3 linked regions of the Cricetulus griseus genome follow. The protein of the gene in region 3 purifies or fractionates together with the protein of the main gene of each other region. This does not show direct contact. Links are inferred from orthologs where the notes say so. Each region holds a gene or a part of one and is shown on either strand. Other genes may lie near its edges.

Region 1 (3,650 bases), on a different chromosome or scaffold from region 3:
AACTTCATTATAAACATACTTACAAAATGTGGTCTGTGATAGTCATTTTACTTGGGCCATTTTCCCACCTCACCTTCCTATACTCCAAACTAAGGTTTAGACAGTGCCTGTTTTGTAGTTCTTGAAGCACTAACCAACTGTGCAACAGCTGTTATAAAACTGTTTATTGTTTACCAAAACCACTGGACCTCTTATCAAATGCCGCTTGGTAACAAAATCTTATCACAGTTTAATAAAAAAGAAAGAAAAGAAAGCAAGCTAACTATTTGTCTCGGAGTCATTAGTTAGGCTTTCAGCAAGGTCACTTAATCCAGACTTGTTTAGTGCGCTGATCAGGTTATCTGTTGTTGCATGAGCTCCTTCTTGATCTTGCCAGGCAACAAGGAGCTGCTTGGCCCTCATCTTCACGTCTTCACTGTCACACTCAATCTGCCTAATTTCAGAGTCTTTAATTTCTAAGTACGGAGCCAAAATCTTCCATTGCTCACCAAGTTTGTTGGCAAATAACTCTATCTGTTCCCCTGTTACAGGTTTATCTCGCCGAACATCAGGGCCTAGAAGACAAGAGGATATAAATTATCTGAAAGACCTGCAAAGCTTAAAGAACAACAACAAAAAACTGGGTTACTAGTCACATTAAGCTTTACTTTAAAACTTAATTCTACATAGGTTACATACCTTCTTAGGAAAAAAAAAAATCACAATTCAGGCAATTATTTTTTATTTTTTGGTTTTTCGAGACAGGGTTTTTCTCTGTGTAGCTTTGGAGCCTATCCTGGCACTCGCTCTGAAGACCAGGCTGGCCTGGAACTCACAGAGATCCGCCTGCCTCTGCCTTCCGAGTACTGGGATTAAAGGCGTGCACCACCAACGCCCAGCTCAAAGCTATATTAATTAGGAAGATTTTCCCATAGAGATGTTCCTTCTAGCCCCAATTAAATTAGCAGAGTTCAAGGCTCTGCCTTAAAACACCCATCTTTTTTATCTTTAAAATTATTTCCAAATTTCCCTATATAAAATGTATTTTAAGTGACTAATGGCTTTAATCTCACTGTAAACTGAGATAAAATGGTAGAAGTTGAGAAGTAGACCAAATTATACAATGTACCTCTCAACAAAGAACCCTAATCTTTTTCAGTTTTGTGAAATAGCCAAAAAATTCAATTTCAATTCAAAAATTCAATTCTTACTTTCATTTTCCTTCAGTAAAGCATCATTATCTTCCTCATCTTCATCTTCACCTGTTTTTATTTCTTCAGAAGGAGGCTATAGTAAATGAGAAACAATGGTGTTTAAAAAAACACTAGTTTCTGAAGATAACAGGAAATAGTTTAGATAGGTAATTAATGGACCTCAGACCCTCTCAACCTGTAGGTCCTGTCATTTTGGGCAGAAGGAAGACAGAGAAGCATGAACAAGCAGGTTGGTAAACACCTAGGCTTTAGTCAGTATTGTCTAAGGGGCAATAGAGATTAACCATGTCTATGGTTACCGTACTATAAGAAAACACTGCCAGGTACCCTACTGCTACTCCTAGACCCTGCTCTTGACAAAATATAGTAAAATACATTTGGTAAGAGCAAAAACTGATCCAATTTACTGCAGGCAGTAGCTTTTTCCAACATGTTGATAAATTGGGTGTTGCACAGAAAATTATACCACTCTTGGTTCACATTTTCTCCCTAAGTGAATGTTCAACAACAACCTCTGCCTCAAGTTGTGTGTGTCCTCCCCCGCCCCCACTACTACTGTTGTGTGATACACTAAAATTTGAGTTCTGCTCAAATACTGATAGCAGTTTTAAAGCAGATAATGTCTACTAAAGGAAATGGGAAAAATGAAGTATGTCACTTACTGGTAGTTCCTTGGCTAGCTTTATTACCATGTTCTCCAGGTACTCTGGCAGACTCTTAAATTGCTGGTTGGTTGGCTGGAAGAAGTGAGGGCTTCTTCGTGCTAAGAGCCTGAGAGCTCTCCACCCATAATTTGAATTGTTCACAGCTCTGTAAGAGGAGTTGTTAGCCTTGGATTTATAATTATCCACTTCCATAGTTGTTTCCATGTCACATGACATTTTGTACCATCCTTTAGTTTGAAAGTTTATATATTTTGCTTATTTTAGCAAGTCAGTGGTCTATGTCTCAACCCCTGGCTACATAGAAACTATTCATCCAGTTATACAGAAGAAAAGGAAAGATAGGAAAAATGATATTTGGTGAGTTGGTTGGTATCTGTATCTGCATTGCTACCTACAGATATGTGAGTTTAGAGTATTTCATAAATTCGAGTTTATCATGTTAATGTAACTAATACAAGTTGGAGATCTCTAACCTAAAACCTTAAGTGTTTAACTTTTCTTAAAATGCTTACCTGCTAGGGTCTAAAATGTTCCAAATATGGGGGGGAAAATCTGAAAACACAGCCGCAAGTATTTTCAATAAGGGACCTGTATTTAGAGTTGTGTTTATGTAACAGCTAATCTTTAGTTCACTTAATTTCAATGTCAATGATTAAAAATGGCTCAAAATGTCAAAAGAGCAAATATCCAGTACCCACAGTAGTGACACACTGATGTCAAGAAAAGAATCAGAAGGTGAGGAAAAAGAACCTATGAGAAATCCTAAGGACTCCCGCCCCCAATAAACGGATTCTATCTTGGGCTTTGTTATGTTCTTTGTATTTAGCACAGATCTGCAATCTGGTTTATTTGGTGGCCTCTTATTAACTCTGATATACACTCTTCATTTTAAGCACGAGATGAGACTTGTGCGTATTTTACTAATAGGATCTTACTCTATAAGCCACACTAACCTCAAACTTAATCCTCCTGCTTTAGCCTCCAGAGTGCTGGGATTATAAGTATGTGCTCCCATGTCCACTCTTTCTGTGTGTGTGCTACTACCTTGCCTGCCCTTTGTGTCTGTCTGTCTGTATGTATGTATTTATTATTAGGCAAGGTCTTACCATGTAGACTTGTGGCCTCAAACTCAGAATCCACGTGCCTCTGTGTCTGAGTGCTGGGATGAAAGGTGTGTATAACCATGCCCAACATAATTTCTTGTATACTTTAGACTTTTATTATGTATATGGGTGTTTTGCCTGCATGATTATCTGTGTATGCCAAAGGCGGCCAGAAGATGTCATTTCAGACTCTGGAAAGAACAGCCAGCACCCTTAATCTCTGATACATTTTTCTTCCCTGTATATATTCAAAAGATCACTCTCTGGTGCATGGAGAATAGAACACACTGGTTAAGAGGTTGGAGCATGTAAAAACGTATCATGGGGTCAAAACTAGTCATTTATATCATGTGTCAGCAACATGCTGTATATGGATCAAAACGAACCATTTAATCTTCAGAATAACTCTGTGAAATGAGTGGCTATTATTTAGCAAATGAGAAAAGGCACAAGGATGGGAACTTACACATTCTGACGAGAGCCCCTGCCTTTAAATCACAACTCCAAAACACCTACCTAAAAATACTGTCACATGAAACTCTTTAGATAAAAGATGGTGAGTCTTAAAAGTTACCCCAGAAATCTAGGGTGGAGGGGACAGCAAAGCAAAAGGCAAACAGTGTGAGTGGTTCCATAGCTGCCATGACAGGTCTGTTTCCTGGCAGATGCTGTTAAGAGCTCAAGAGAAG
Region 2 (3,650 bases), on a different chromosome or scaffold from region 3:
TAGAGAATGACTGGGAAACATGTATGTTAAGATAGCACCAGTGTCTCACCATAGGAAACAGGTGAAATGATAAAGTGTTACAAGTCTGAAGAGAAGCCCACCCTTATGCCTTTATAAATAGAATTTAAAACCAAAAAAGTAACAGACTCAGAAGTCAAGTGAGTTTTACAATATTGAATAAAAGAAAGAAGTTCAATTTCATCTGCCAGAGGCAGGACCTCTAGGCTCACCACCCAAGCAAAACAGTCAAGAACAGCCAGTATTCTAGAGAGAATATTTCGATTAAAAGGTAACAAAAGAACCTCAACAGGTGAAATGATAATGTGTTACAAGTTTGAAGAGAAGCCCACCCTTATGCCTTTATAAACAGAATTTAAAACCAAAAAAGTAACCGCCAGTATTCTAGAGAGAATATTTCGATTAAAAGGTAACAAAAGAACCTCTCACCTGTCTGTAGAAGTTGGGTCAGTATATCTGCTACTCTTGGCAGATTCTCTCCAGTGGCAAATTGAGGCAGCTCTTTAATTGCTTGGCGTCGTATCTGGGCATGATTTCAAACAAACAAAATAACTAAAATGGCATCATCATAAAAAAGCAAAAACAAACTCAACTTTTAAAATAACTAAAACTTTTGAGATCAGCCTGGTCTACAAGAACTAGTTCCAGGATAGCCTCCAAAGCCAAAGAGAAACCCTGTCTCGGAGGAAAAAAAAAAAAGATAACTAAAACCAAGAAAAAACCATACTAAAGAGCACATGAATTGTAAAATGTATGATGCTTTTTCTTAAGATAGTTTAATTATTGTGTACATCTGTGAACCAGGGGAGAGGGAGGTAAACATGGCATAATACCCATGAGGTCAGAAGACAACACTGTGAAGTTGGCTCATTCTTTCCACTTTTCAATGGGTTGTGCGGACTCAACTTAGGGCTGTTAGGCTTATGTATAATGTATCTTTACCTGCTCAGCCATCTCACCATTCATAAAGATGAGTTCATTATTTAAAGATTTTTATTTTTATTTATGACTCTGTGTGTGTAGATGTGTGCACTACCTATGCGCTGGTGCCCAGAAAGGACAGAGGGACAGAAGAGGGCACTGGATCCTTTGGAACTGAAGTTAGAGGCCACTGTGAGCACCTGTGGGTGTTGGGACAGGTCCTTTATAGGGGCAACAGGTGCTCTTAATTGCTGAGCCATCTCTCCTGTTTGTAACAGTTTTAAAAACAATTTGCCCCGTTTGTTTTTGAAACATGATACTGTCATGTTGCCAAGACTGGCCATAAACTTCTTAGCTCAAGGGATCCTCTTGTCTCAGGCTCCTAGGTAGCTGGGACTAAGAAATGTGCTACTGGCTCAACTTACTATTTAGGTTTCACAGAACAGACAAATGCAGTTGAAAGGGATATTAAGTACCAGACTGGAGCAGAGAGCTCAGCGATAACAAACATCTTTGTATGTGACTTATGTACAACTGTTGGGTTGTGACTTTTAGGCATGTTAATACGCCGTTCCTCTAGAACAGCATCCATAACAGAGCCCACACCAGGAATTATTTTAGAACCTATATTGATTACTTAATTTGAATTAAAAAAGATTCCAATTTACTAGCTCTTACATTAAAAACGATGGAGACTTTATCTAGCATACTCTGCATGAAATGCTAGTGATTCACTGATTTCATTTAGAAAGTTAAAGAGCTAATTGCTGAAAAAATTTTTAGAAGCCTGCACTAGTAACTAGAAATGCTAACAGTTAATTCTGCACCATGGAAAAAGGATCCATTCTTAAATCTGGTGATCAGTTACAAGTATTACAGTGACCAACTATGTTTTATGACACATATAATACAACTACAAGTACAAACACTGAATCAACCAACAACCTAATTTCATATGAAGCATGAATGATAATCTAAGAAAGATATGAGCTACATTTCATTTTTACCAGTGGATAATGAAATTTGTTATTCCATGCCCTTTTCATAAATACAAAATAGTAAACAGTATTTTCTAAGGTGTAGCATTCATTCTGGGTCTGGTACAAGGTAACCATACCATGATAATGGATTATGGACTTATCACTACTTTTATCATGTTACTTTTACATAGAAATAGTAGCATGCTTATTGAAGTGTCAATCATAAACTTACTGACACATCTTCATCCTCACAGAGGTCTAACTGTGCATTGATTGCAGAATCAGCCAGTTCAGGAAAATGCTTAAAGAATTTTGGAATAAACTGAGCTGCTAATCGTTTCTCCTTGGTGCCGCCTTTCACGCCATCCAGTATCACTTGGTAGGCATCTTTATGCTGGAAGGAAGATAAAAAGAAACAATGCTGAAGCACTAGAAGCTATGGAGAGATTTGCTACACATGCACGAATGCTCCAAATGTTTATAAACACTAGAGTTTTACTGCTTAAACTGGACATGACCTTTTTACTCTAGTTCCCTATTCCCCACAGCCTAGCCCATTTTATTTGTCAATTAGGAAAGAGAAATATGACCCTAATTTTAAATGGGAAAAAGCAAGTTAAGTTGTTAAATGTCCCAACATCCCATCATAGGTATCACCACAAGGCCTTATGACTGTGTCATGCTTTAAAAACGTGGAGACTGTAGAATTCTCAAAGTTGTGTTACATTTACTAAAAGATACCAGTGGCCAGGCATAGTGGTATACACTTGTAATGCAAGAAGTATTCAGATAGCTGAGGCAAGAAGGTGGCAAGTTTGAAGACAGTGTAAATTACATAGCAAGACCTGTCTTACCCTGCCTCCCACCTACAAGGACCTGTTCTAACTAGTATCTCGAGAAAGGTGAAAGGAATACATCTCTGAAATTAAGTAATTTTAGCAAAGTTTAATTTCATCTTCTATTTTAGAATGTGAAAGCAGCAACAATTTATATAGCCAGCCAATTTTGGATTAAGACAAATTCTAACATTCATTGCACATGAGAATACACCCAAAGCTCACATTTCTGTCAAATAATTTTTAAGTGTTCTCGGGCATTCAATGTAAATTCTCAACAAGTTCCCAGTTGTCCTTATAAGGATACCTCCCAACTGGTGCTTTTACTAAATGGCAAGAAATACAGAGTAACTTCTGTATGGCCATATAAATGCAACATCAATAAGAATAAAGTTCCCTAAACTGTAATCTTGATACTACATTGGACACAGTGGTGGCCACTTTGCCAGGGGATATACTGAGTGCTGTACTTACTTCATACCAGGAAGAGAGAGTAACTAATAAATATCCACCAAACTTTTATCCTAACACCTTTTGTGGCTAATACTGGGCTGAATGACAAATAAAGCAGAATGGAGTTATGGACATGTGAAACAGACAGTCAGCTTCTCATAAACAGACATGTCCACGAATAAGGCTACCTTCTTCATGAAATGCAGGCATGATATCACTCTTCATGGAACTTAAGTACTATGTATGTGTATTGCCCAGCATGACATAACAAGACAGTTGTGAGCCAGCATGTGGGTGCAGGGAATTGAACCTAGGTTCTCACTTGGCAAGAGCAACTGGTGTTTTTAGCCCCTGAGCCACCTCACCAGACCCAACTATAAATATTTTGATGCTTTTCTAAAACCATGTTTTGGTATATTTTCAATAACAATAAGTAGAACTC
Region 3 (4,088 bases):
GGCCTGCAGAAATGGCTCAGGAGTTGTTGCTTTTGTAAAGAACACAAGTTTGGTTCCTAGTACCTATCCACAACTATAATAGTTCCTGGGATCTAAGCCTTTTGGCCTCTTTGGGCACCAGGCAACTCAAGTGGTGTACGGCACACACATGCAGGCAAGAGTCACACGTAAATTTTTGAGTTGGATTTTCTCTGTGTAGCTGATTGTCCTGGAACTTGCTCTATAGCACTTGGGGGGAGGAGGGTCTCAGAGTGAATATAATAATACACCATTTGCCATCACCACAGCCAAATAAAATATTTCCAAAATGTCAGGTGGTGGCAAACATCCTTAATAACAGCATTCAGGACAGATGCAAGCAGACCTGAAGAGTTTCGGGTCAGCCTGGTCTACACAGCCAAGGCCTACATAGTGAGACGTTATCTCCCTATCTCAACAACCCCCCACCCCCCACACACACCTTACCACATGCATGGGTCATGATCTCCCCTCTCCAGCACCATTTAGTTGGGTGCTTATTCTCCAAAAGTGTACTTCTGTTAGCATCAATTTAAAAGAATCCTTCTTAGCTGGGTGTGGTGGCACACACCTTTGAGCCCAGCACTCGGAAGGCAGAGGCGGGCAAATCTGAGTTCAAGGTCAGCCTGGTCCACAAATTGAATTCCATGCCAAGGCTACACAGAGAAATTCTGTCTTGAAAAATAAGCAAACAAAAACACTCATCTCGCCAACCTGATCTCATATGTAGAAGAGGACCTGGCAGTCAGCAGCAGTGGTGGTAAATGACTGGAACTACAACTAGGGCCTTAAGGCGGCAAACTTACACCAGTCCACTGCAGCAGCAAAGGGACAGGTTCATTTGCCAGTCAAGAAAGGTTACTACTCAGTAGGAAAGGGCAGGATTCCCCAGAATCCACATAGAAGTGACAAATTGTCCCTCTGATATAGACAAATACACCACATACACAAAAAGTGTGTGTGTGAGGGGGGGGAGAACATGGATGGCACACACCTTTAATCCCAGCACTCTGGAGGCAGAGACAGATCTCTGAGTTCCAGAACAGCCTGGTCTACAAGAGCTAGTTGGAGGACAGCCTCCAAAGCCACAGAGAAACCCTGTCGCAAACAGCACCCCCTCCAAAAAAAGAATTTGCTCAAGATGGAGTGGAGCATAAGGCCAACAGCTGGGAAAAACAGGCATGGAAAGAGAATTATCCAGGGGCAATAAGGAGGACACCAAATAGGTCAGAGCCATCCCCGGGTAGAGTAGAACCAGACATCTCTGGCTCAAACATGTGAATGGCCAAGATGGTGTATCTATTTTTATTTGAGAAAGGGATTTATGCAGGACCTAGGCCAGCCTTGAATTCCCGATCCTCCTATCTCAACCCCGCCCCCCCCCCCAAATGCCCAGTCTATACTAAAATGAACTTTAAAATTGCCTGGGCAATTTTTCCAGTGACCTCCAGGCCAGCCAAGGCTACATAGAGATCTTATTTCAGCAATAAAAAAAAAAAAAAAAAAAAAACCTTGGGCATTCAGGACAAGAGAGGTGTGGCAGACCGGTTAAAACGCTTGATGCTTTCGGGCGATTTTTCAGTTCACAACCACCTTCTAACTCCAAGTAGAGGTTCGAGTCCCTCTTCCGGCCTCCAAGAGCACCTGCACACAGTCATTCACACACCCACGTGAATAAAAAATTCAAGGACAGCCTCAACTTCATGAGAACCTTATGGCCCCCTCATACATATGTACTGTTTTGAGGCAGTATAGATCTAAAAACGTTTCTTGTCCTAGTTAAGGGATAAAGGTGAAGCCGAGCGTAGTGGTGCACGCCTTTAATCCCAGCGCTCCGGAGGCAGACACAAGTGGATTTCACTGAGTTCATAGTGAATTCCAGTGTACAAAGATCCTGTCTCAAAACACGAGATGGGGCTGAGCGTTGGTGGTGCATGCCTTTAATCCCAGCACTCGGGAGGCAGAGGCAGGCGAATCTCTGAGTTCGAGGCCAGTCTGGTCTCCAGAGCGAGTTCCAGGACAGCCTCCAAAGCTACACAGAGAAACCCTGTCTAGAAAACACAAAAAACAAACAAAAAACAACAGCAACAAAAAAAGATGGGATACACCAAATGTTTCAGGAACGAGTTGGGGTGCTACTCGGAGCGGATACCCACAAATTCGTCAGGCCTGGGTTCCATCAGGTACAGAAAATGAAACAAGTGAACCCAGGAAGTGGCTATCCCAGACCTAAAGTTTCAATCAGGGCCAGAGAAGATGAGATGCAACCGGGCTGAGCCGCCTCACACCGGGAAGGCGACACCGGGTGAAAGACCCGGCTCCTGTGAGCCGCCACACCGGCCTCCCGAGTCTGGAGGAGAAACCTCCTGGGAAAGCGGCAAAGGAAGACAGGAGGCAGGTGACTGCAGACTCTGCCCACGAGGGCCCGGGTCGTCCGGCTGCGACCCGAACCCCAGCCTGAGGCCGCCCTCTGCATCAATCCCGCCACGATACACAGGCCGGCCTCCGAGGGCCGCCATAACACCGTTCCCGGAAGCCGACACACTAACGGCTGGCCCGCCCCTGGCGCATGCGCGCGGGAGCCCAACGGCCGCCAGCTCGAGGTGGGTTCCTAACCGCCCTGCCGCCTCGCGCCCACTCCTCCCGCTGCACCGCGGCGTCTTCAGCAAACCCACAGCCCCGACTTGCGGCCCCGAGCTCGGGACCCACCACTTACCTGTCGCCCGGTTCGCCTCCGCGAGCTGCGAGGAGAGCCGTCCGTCTGGTTGTACGTCGCGCCCCTGGACGCGAGCGGCAACGCTTCCTGTCTGCGGCCCGACTCGGGTCTTGCTCACTGGGCCGTTGACTTATCACTCAACTGAGGAAAAAGTGATGATTGGTTTATAAGGACGCTGTCGGCCGGCTATTGGTGAAAGGGGTGAAAGAGGGCGTGCCTGCAGCCTCAGGTTCATTGGGTAATCAGGAGTGGGCGTGTCCTATGGGGCTGAGCTAAGCTGCGGCCCCGCCCTGGCCCGTCACGTGAGGTGAGTGTAGGGCTAAAAGGATGCTGCCATATTTAGTACTGGCAACCGCCTGTTAATTGCCCATGCTTGTGCCCCACCCTTTTAAAGTGTAGTTTCCTGCTGTCATAGAATTTTTGACTCTTGTCTGGTGGGTCGGTTGGTTGCTTTTTTTCCAGACAGGGTTTCTCTGTGTAGCCCTAACTGCCATTGAGCTGGTTCTGTAGATCAGGCTGGCATAGATCCACCTGCCTCTGCCTCATGATTGTTGGGATTAAAGGTGTGTTGCCGTCACCACTTGACCCAATTTGTTTGTTTTTTGGTTTTGATTTTTTTCTTTTCTTTTCCTTTTTTCTTTTTTGGGGGGATTTGAGACAGGCAAGGCATGTGCCACCACTACTTAGCTCATTTTTTATTTATTATTATTATTATTATTATTATTATTTGGTTTTTCGAGACAGGGTTTTTCTGTGTAGCTTTGGAGCCTATCCTGGCACTCGCTCTGGAGACCAGGCTGGCCTCGATCTCACAAAGATCCGCCTGCGTCTTCCTACTGAGTGCTGGGATTAAAGGCATGCGCCACCAACGCCCAGCTCTTTTTTTTAACCCTTAAAAAGAAATTAAAAAGCCGGGTGTTGGTGGTGCACGCCTTTAATCCCAGCACTGGGGAGGCCGAGGCAGGTGGATCTCTGTGAGTTCGAGGCCAGTCTGGGCTACAGAGCGAGTTCCAGGACAGCCTCCAAAGCAACACAGAGAAACCCTGTCTCGAAAAACAAAACAACACAAAAAAAGTTAAAAAAAAAAAAAACAAAAACACAAAACTCTTTTACTCCTACGTTGTATACACTGGACTCAGTTGGTCTCCTGCCTCAGGTTCCCTAGTAAAAGATCACTACTCCAAAAAAAAAAAAAAAAAAAGCATTGGCCATAACCTTAGTTTATAGCTCCAGAAAGCCAGCTATTTGGGGATTACAGATGATACAAAAGAGACAACAGACCCTGCGTTCTGAAAAGGTAAACTTCTCCATTCTGCCCTTTGTTCTTCTCCCTTCCCCATCCTTAGCTACAAAA

What was found.
Region 1: the proteins of Ddx39a (region 3) and Thoc1 purify together in Homo sapiens (affinity purification with mass spectrometry; 3 studies listed by BioGRID and IntAct, with this or other methods). This does not show direct contact. The link is inferred for Cricetulus griseus from reciprocal best matches to the Homo sapiens genes DDX39A and THOC1.
Region 2: the proteins of Ddx39a (region 3) and Api5 fractionate together in Homo sapiens (co-fractionation; 3 studies listed by BioGRID, with this or other methods). This does not show direct contact. The link is inferred for Cricetulus griseus from reciprocal best matches to the Homo sapiens genes DDX39A and API5.

What each region holds. Positions count from the first base shown.
Region 1 is NC_048595.1:236,160,836-236,164,485, forward strand, and holds the end of Thoc1 (THO complex subunit 1), read right to left. Parts: intron 2,004-3,650; coding exon 1,856-2,003; intron 1,267-1,855; coding exon 1,191-1,266; intron 555-1,190; coding exon 259-554; 3' UTR 148-258; downstream 1-147. UniProt on the Homo sapiens protein: Component of the THO subcomplex of the TREX complex which is thought to couple mRNA transcription, processing and nuclear export, and which specifically associates with spliced mRNA and not with unspliced pre-mRNA.
Region 2 is NC_048599.1:82,289,031-82,292,680, reverse strand, and holds part of Api5 (apoptosis inhibitor 5), read right to left. Parts: intron 2,314-3,650; coding exon 2,152-2,313; intron 542-2,151; coding exon 448-541; intron 1-447. UniProt on the Homo sapiens protein: Antiapoptotic factor that may have a role in protein assembly. Negatively regulates ACIN1. By binding to ACIN1, it suppresses ACIN1 cleavage from CASP3 and ACIN1-mediated DNA fragmentation. Also known to efficiently suppress E2F1-induced apoptosis.
Region 3 is NC_048596.1:160,700,577-160,704,664, forward strand, and holds the start of Ddx39a (ATP-dependent RNA helicase DDX39A), read right to left. Parts: upstream 2,892-4,088; 5' UTR 2,735-2,891; intron 1-2,734. UniProt on the Homo sapiens protein: Helicase that plays an essential role in mRNA export and is involved in multiple steps in RNA metabolism including alternative splicing. Regulates nuclear mRNA export to the cytoplasm through association with ECD.